Anolis sagrei: one gene and its partner. The protein of the gene in region 1 interacts with the protein of each later gene in a biochemical or structural test. Links are inferred from orthologs where the notes say so. Each region holds a gene or a part of one and is shown on either strand. Other genes may lie near its edges. The genes, in order: RPS6KA3 and PEA15.

Region 1 (3,922 bases):
AAGCGAGAGTCCAAAAGTGGCAGGCTCAAACCCAGAACCTCAATCAATGGCTGATACCAAATGAGAGACTCCCCCCTGGGCACACAGAAGACTGGGTGACTTGGAAGGCGCTGAACAGACTGCGCTCTGGCACCACGAGATGCAGAGCGAACCTTAAGAAATGGGGCTACAAAGTGGAATCCACGACATGCGAGTGTGGAGAAGAGCAAACTACAGACCACCTACTGCAATACAACCTGAGCCCTGCCACATGCACAATGGAGGATCTTCTTGCAGCGACACCAGAGGCACTCCAAGTGGCCAGATACTGGTCAAAGGACATCTAATCAACTACCAATCTTGCAAACTTGTGTTTTGTTTGTTTGTTAAAAAATAAACATATGCAACTGTTTGGTCTGCCCCTGACACGATAAATAAATAACCCCTAAGCGTAACCCTAAACTTTGCCTTAGCCCTTACCCTTAGCGCCCCCTCCTTTCTATCCTTTCTTCGCTCTCCACGTTCTCCCTCCGCCCCTTTTCTTCCCTTATTCACGAACGCCGTTACGAAATGTGCGCTTCCGGACACAGCTATCATACTATCCCCAAAGTAACAAAGGCCGAAAGTAATAGAACTGAAGGCCTCCCTCCAGAACGGAAACCACTTCCTGAGGAGGAGGAGGAGGAGGAGGAGGAGGGAGAGGAGGACGACTCCAATGACTTTTTTTTTCCAACTGCGAACTGTCGTCACGGCTTGGAAGCGGGCGGCGGCGATTGGGGGAGGCGAAGGGTTCACTCCACTGAACTGACGCGGGGAAGGCGCGCGCCAGGAATGACGCGCGGGACCGGCTGGGCTTTGTCGCGAGGCAGGGAGCCCCTCCCTTCTCCTTCTCTCTTCCCGGCTCTCTCTTCCCCCTCCCACGCCTGTCGCAACCAGATTAACTCTCCAGCCCCCTCCTCTCCTAAGCCACGCCCTCTTTTAAAAACTACCTGCCGCCGCCTCTGATTGGTCCGCCTTGGGATGACGCCATCCCCCTTCGTTTTGACAGGCAGGTACGGCTCGGGCGCCGCCATATTGGGAGCGGAAGCGGGCTGAGCGGCAGAAGCGGCGCTGCTGGTTGTTCACCCTCCGGCTTGGAAAGTCCTGCGCTCCCTCCGCGAGGGAAGGAAGGAAGGAAGGAAGGAAGGAAGGAAGGAAGGAAGGAAGGAAGGAAGGAAGGAAGGAAGGAAAGCAGGGAAAAGGAAGGGAGCGTGTTCCGCCCGTCTCCTCCCCGCGGCGGGGAGGAGGAAGGAGCCCGACCCTGAGCCGAAGTGGGACTCTGAGGAAAAGCAGGCGGCGGAAGAAGAGGAGGAGGAGGAAGAAGCGGAAAAAGAAGGGAGGAAGGGACGCTTCAGGTTAAGGGGCCACCATGCCGTTGGCGCAGCTGGCCGACCCCTGGCAGAAGATGGCCGTGGAGAACGCGGCGGAAAGCGGCAACAGCGCCGAGGTAGAGTTTCCCTCAGGAAGCGGGGCAACTCGGGAGAGAGAAGGGGGGTATGTGTGGAAAAGGTTTGGGGCAGGCATGGGCAAACTTGGGCCTTCCCTCCAGGTGTTTTGGACTTCAACTCCCACCATTCCTCACAGCCTCAGGACCCTTCCTTTCCCCCCTCAGCCGCTTAGCGTAATTAAAAATTACGGCTGAGGGGGGAAAGGAAGGGTCCTGAGGCTGTGAGGAATGGTGGGAGTTGAAGTCCAAAACACCTGGAAGGAAGGCCAAAGTTTACCCATGCCTGTTTTGGGGAGAGGTGCCGCACCCCACGTTCAGGTTTTTTTATCTCAACTACTCAACTTTAAGGAAGTGTCCTTGTCCTTATCTGGGACCTGAAGTGTTTTTGATCTAGCATATTATTTGGATATTCCTAATGAGATGACAGGGAATTGGCATATGTTTCAAACACACTGTAGATACATAGCCTGAAGGTGGTACATAACATTTTTAATTACATTGCACATAAAACAGAGTTTGTGGAAGTGAAGGTCACTTATCCTTGTCTGAAACACTTGGGACTTTAAAGTGTTTTTGATTTTTGATTCCCCTTCATTTTTTGAATGAATTTGCATTTATTCATGTGTTTACCATATATACTTGAGAATAAGCCGACCCGAGTATAATCCGAGGCACCTAATTTTACCACCAAAAAATGGGAAAACTTACTGACTCGAGTATAAGTCGAGGGTGGGAAATGCAGCAGCTACCGGTAATACAAAATAAATATAGATACCAATAAAATTACATTAATTGAGGAAACAGTAGGTGAAATGTTTTTGAATATTTACATAAAACTGTAATTTAAGATAAGACTGTCCAACTCTGATTAAACCATGATACCAACCTTTTTCAGTGTAAATATATTTGTACATCTTTCCAAGAATAATAGAGTAAAATAGTAAATGTAATAATAACAGTAATAGAGTAAAACAATAAATGTAATAATAACAATAGAGTAAAATAATAAATGTAATTAGAGTATAATAATAATAATAATAATAATAATAATAGAATTAAATAATAAATAATCTTGACTCGAGTATAAGCCAAATGGGATTTTTCAGCCTAAAAAAAGGGCTGAAAAACTAGGCTTATACTCGAGTATATACAGTATTTATTTATTTGCCGTATTTATACCCCACCTTTCTCTATCCCAGCAGGGTCTCAAGGCGGCATACAATGGCACATACACAGTGCCTCAAAACAACAAATTCACCTAAAAATAGTTTAGATATACATAATGAGACACCTTGGAAAGGAGGCCCAAATCTAAACAGGGAATTAACTTGTGTTTCATGTGCACCTTATATTCATACCCTGAAGGTTATACGTAACTTTCTTAAATGTATTGCACATAACACAAAGTTTGTGGAAGTGAAGATGGCACTGGGTTGCTGTGAGTTTTCCAGGCTGTATGGCCATGTTCCAGAAGCATTATCTCCTGACGTTTCGCCCACATCTGTGAGAATGTTTCACCGCATCCTGAAGATGCCTGCCATAAATGAGAATGAAGCATCAGGGGAGAATGCTTCTGGAACATACAGCCCAGAAAACTCATATCAACCCAGGATTTCAGAAAGCCCTTTATTTAAAATGTAAAATGATAACTAACAGTGATAAGGTTTCTGTGAGTGTTCTGGGCTGTATGACCATGCTCCAGAAGCATTCTCACCTGAAGTTTCACCTGCATCTATGGCAGGCATCCTCAGAAGTTGTGAGGTTTGTTGGAAACTAGGCAGGGGAGGTGTATATATATCTGTGGAATGTCCAGGATGGGAGAAAGAACTCATATTTGTTTGAGGCAAGTGTGAACCTGAAGCGTTTTTTGATTGAGGTGACACACACACCAGATTTTGGAATATTTGAGATATCTTGGAAATGGGTATATCTAAACAGGAAATTAACATATGTTTCATATCCATAGCCTGACGGTAAGTTTAAACACATTTTTGTATTAATTTGTGTTTTAAGTTTGAACCATCAGAAAGTTAAGTTGTCACTAATTCAGTCACCTGTATGGGCAATTTTGGAGTGTTTCAGATTTCCGAATAAGGAATACTCAATCTGTACTTTGAGAGTTGGGAAGAAGCATCGAAGGGCCACCCTTATGCCTAGTGCTTTGGTTTCTTCCTATCTGAAGCCTGTTTTGCCATCGACTCCTGTCTATCTCCACTTTCCCACCCCCAATTCAATTACTCTTAAGTCAAAGTACTCATCCATTACCTTTACCATTGTGTGTCTTTAGGACTCACTCTCTCTACCTGACAACTTTTAGGGATAACATTTTCTGATTTCTATAAATAGTAATGAATTTGATAAGTCCTTTCAGGTGTTACAAGACTAGTCTTTGTTATTGATGCTACAGACTAATATCATGTCCCACACCCCAATGCTTTTACTCTTTCCCTCTTGAGG
Region 2 (3,922 bases), on another chromosome or scaffold:
GGTGAGGCATCCACTGTATTTGACAGAGGAAGTGAAAGACCTTGGAAAACTATAACTCCCAGGATTCCTTAACATTGAGCTTGGGCTGTTCCAAGTTGGGTCAATGTACATTCATTCCACAGTGTTGCATCAGTAATTGGGTGAGTCATCAGCAGTCTTTGTCAGAGGAAGTGAAAGACTTTGGAAAATTATAGTTTTTCAGGGTCTTTCACTTCCTCTACCATGCACTGCTGACTCACCCAAATACTGATGCAACACTGTGGAATGAATGTATATTGACCCAACTTGGAACAGCCCAAGCTCAATGTTAAGGAATCCTGGGAATTATCGTTTTCAGGACTCCTTAACATTGAGCCTGAGCTGATCCAATGTGAAGCCAAACTGCATTCATTCCACAATGGAGATACAGGATGTGAAAGACCTTGAGAAACTATAACTCCTAGGATTGCTTAGCACTGAGCCAGGGTAGTTCAAGTGGGGTGAAAAGGTCCATTCATTCCACAGCGATGAACTAGTAGTTGGGTGAGAGCCACCAGCAATGTTGGACAGAGGGAAGTGCAAGACCTTAGGAAACTACAACTCCCAGAATTCCTTAACATTGAGCCTGGGCAGTTCAAGTGAGGTCAATGTACATTCATTGCACAGTGTAACATCAGGAGCTGGGCGAGGCATCAGCAGTCTTTGGCAGGGGAAGTGAAAGACCTTGGAGAACTATAACTCCCAGGATTCCTTAACATTGAGCCTGGGCTATTCAAATGGGATCAAAAAGTACACTGAGTGATGCACTAATAATTGGGTGAGATCCATCAGCAGTGTTTGGCAGAGGGAAGTGAAAGACCTTGGAAAACCATAACTCGCAGAATTCCTTAACATTGAGCCTGGGCAGTTCAAATGAGGTCGATGTACATTCATTGCACAGTGTTACATCAGTAGTTGGGAGAGGCATCAGCAGTCTTTGGCAGGGGAAGTGAACGACCTTGGAAAACTATAACTCCTAGGATTCCTTAACATTGAGCCAGGGCTATTCAAATGGGGTCAAAAAGTACATTCAGCGATGCACTAATAGTTGGGTGAGTGTTGGGCAGAGGGAAGTGAAAAACCTTGGGAAACTACAATTCCCATGCTTCCTTAACATTGACTCAAGGCAGTTATAGTGGAGCCACAGGACATGCATTCTCTATGAGAGTCGAGAAGGCCAAAGAGGGTGTTGCATACCCCTGCTTTGCCCGCTAAAAGACCTTGGGAAACTATAACTCCCAGGATTCGTTAGCATTGAGCCAGGGTGATTCAAGTGAGATGAAAAGATATAGTGATGCACTAATAGTTGGGGGAGATCCATCAGCAGAGTTTGGCAGAGGGAAGAGAAAGACCTTGGAAAACTATAACTCCCAGAATTCCTTAACAATGAGCCTGGGCAGTTCAAGTGAGGTCAATGTACATGCATTGCATCAGTAGTTAGGAAAGGCATCAGCAGTCTTTGGCAGGGGAAGTGAAAGACCTTGGGAAACTACAACTCCCAGGTTTCTTTAGCATTGACTCCAGGCAGCTATAGTGGAGCCAAAAGACTTGCATTCCCTATGAGAGTCGAGGAGGCAACAGGGGGCGTTGCATAGCCCCGCTCGGCCCGCTCTGCACGCTTTCCCAAGGCGCGTCACGTGTGAACGCGCGTCCCCGCGTGCACAGGGCCTGCCTCCCCTCCCTCCCTCCCTCCCTTCATTTTGGGCTCCAGGCTTCTGCCCAAAAGCCGCGCGCATCAGCACAAAAGCCGCCAAGCCCGCTGACATCACTGGGAAGGAGGAGAAGGAGGAGGAGGAAGAGAAGAGAGAAGGAGGAGGAGGAGGAGAAGTCGCCCAAGCCAGGCATCCCTCGCCACGCCCGGAGCAGGAAGAGCCCTCACTCGCCTTCTGGGTCGCCCTCTCGCCCTGTATCCGTGCCCAGGAGGGGCCCCTGAGGGTAAGCCAGACCCTCTCCCATCCTCTTGCCCTTCTTCCCTCCCTCTCTCTTCTCTCCTGCATCCCTGATCCTTCCAGGTTGCCATTCTCTCCTTCTCTGGGCGCTCTCCCACATGGGCAAAGGGCTCCATCTTCACCCTGATGGGAGGGTTGGGGTTGAGGGGATGGTCAAATCCCACCCACCCTTGGGAGTTCTAGTTCCCTCTTCCAGGTACCTTCCCAACATCTCCCTATTTCCTGTTGCGCCACTCTCAGCCCTTCTCTCTCCCTTCTAAGCCTGGATCCCACAAAGTTCCCCTCTCTCGCCCCAAAGTTCCCCCAAAGTGGCTTGGAAAATTATTATTATTATTATTATTATTATTATTATTATTATTATTATTATTGTGGTTGTTTCTATGTCTTCTCACTGGCATTGGGTGTTTGCTATAGATGCTGGAAACTGCTCTGAGTCCCTTTGGGGAGATAAAGTATTATTATCTATTATTATTATTAAAGTTTTATATTATTATTATTATTATTATTATTATTATTATTATTGTGGTTGTTTCTATGTCTTCTCACTGGCACTGGATATTTGCCATAGATGCTGGAAACTGCTCCGAGTCCCTTTGGGGAGATAAAGTTTTATTATCTATCTATCTATTATTATTATTATTATTATTATTATTATTAAAGTTTTATTATATTATTGTTGTTATTATTATTGTGGTTGTTTCTATGTCTTCTCACTGGCATTGGATATTTGCCATAGATGCTGGAAACTGCCCTGAGTCCCTTTGGGGAGATAAAGTTTTATTATCTATCTATTATCATCATCATCATCATTATTATTATTATTAAAGATTATTATTATTATTATTATTATTATTATTATTATTATTGTGGTTGTTTCTATGTCTTCTCACTGGCACTGGATATTTGCCATATATGCTGGAAACTGCTCTGAGTCCCTTTGGGAAGATAAAGTTTTACTATCTATCTATCTATTATTATTATTATTATTATTAAAGTTGTATTATATTATTATTGTTGTTATTATTATTGTGGTTGTTTCTATGTCTTCTCACTTGCATTGAATATTTGCCATAGTTGCTGGAAACTGCCCTGAGTCTCTTTGGGGAGTTAAAGTATTATTATCTATTATTATTATTATTATTATTAGTATTATTAATATTATTATAGTTTTATATTATTATTATTATTATTATTATTATTATTATTATTATTATTATTATTGTGGTTGTTTCTATGTCTTCTCCCTGGCATTGGATATTTGCCATATATGCTGGAAACTGCCCTGAGTCCCTTTGGGGAGATAGTTTTATTACCTATATTATTATTATTATTATTGTGGTTGTTTCTATGTCTTCTCATTGCTTGCCATAAATGCTGGAAACTGCCCTGAATCCCTTCGGGGAGATAGGGCGGTCTCCAAATAAAGTATTTTATTATTATTATTATTATTATTATTATTATTATTATTATTGTGGTTGTTTATATGTCTTCTCATTGGCATTGGGTGTTTGCCATATATGTTGGAAACTGCCCCGAGTCCCTTCGGGGAGATAAAGTTTTTATTATTATTATTATTATTATTATTATTATTATTATATTGTTGTTTATGCCTTCTTGTTGGCATTGAATGTATGCTGGAACCTACCCCGACTCGCTTCAGGGAGATAAAGTTTTATATTATTATTATTATTATTATTATTATTATTATTATAATATTGTTCTTGTTGTTCATGCCTTCTCGTTGGCATTGAATGTTTTCCATGTGTGCTGGAAACCACCCCGAGTCCCTTCGAGGAGATAAAGTTTCATTATATATTATTTTATTATATATTATGATATATTATTATTGTTATTATTATATTGTTGTTGTTGTTTATGTCTTCTCATTGGCAATGAATGTTTGCCATATATGCTGGAAACTGTCCCAAGTCCCTTCGGAGAGATAAAGTTTCATT

The links.
Region 2: the proteins of RPS6KA3 (region 1) and PEA15 form a complex in vitro, tested with the Homo sapiens proteins (2 studies listed by BioGRID). The link is inferred for Anolis sagrei from reciprocal best matches to the Homo sapiens genes RPS6KA3 and PEA15.

The regions. Positions count from the first base shown.
Region 1 is NC_090023.1:88,385,836-88,389,757, forward strand, and holds the start of RPS6KA3 (ribosomal protein S6 kinase alpha-3), read left to right. Parts: upstream 1-1,026; 5' UTR 1,027-1,387; coding exon 1,388-1,465; intron 1,466-3,922. UniProt on the Homo sapiens protein: Serine/threonine-protein kinase that acts downstream of ERK (MAPK1/ERK2 and MAPK3/ERK1) signaling and mediates mitogenic and stress-induced activation of the transcription factors CREB1, ETV1/ER81 and NR4A1/NUR77, regulates translation through RPS6 and EIF4B phosphorylation, and mediates cellular proliferation, survival, and differentiation by modulating mTOR signaling and repressing pro-apoptotic function of BAD and DAPK1.
Region 2 is NC_090032.1:7,494,936-7,498,857, reverse strand, and holds the start of PEA15 (astrocytic phosphoprotein PEA-15), read left to right. Parts: upstream 1-1,699; 5' UTR 1,700-1,953; intron 1,954-3,922. UniProt on the Homo sapiens protein: Blocks Ras-mediated inhibition of integrin activation and modulates the ERK MAP kinase cascade. Inhibits RPS6KA3 activities by retaining it in the cytoplasm. Inhibits both TNFRSF6- and TNFRSF1A-mediated CASP8 activity and apoptosis.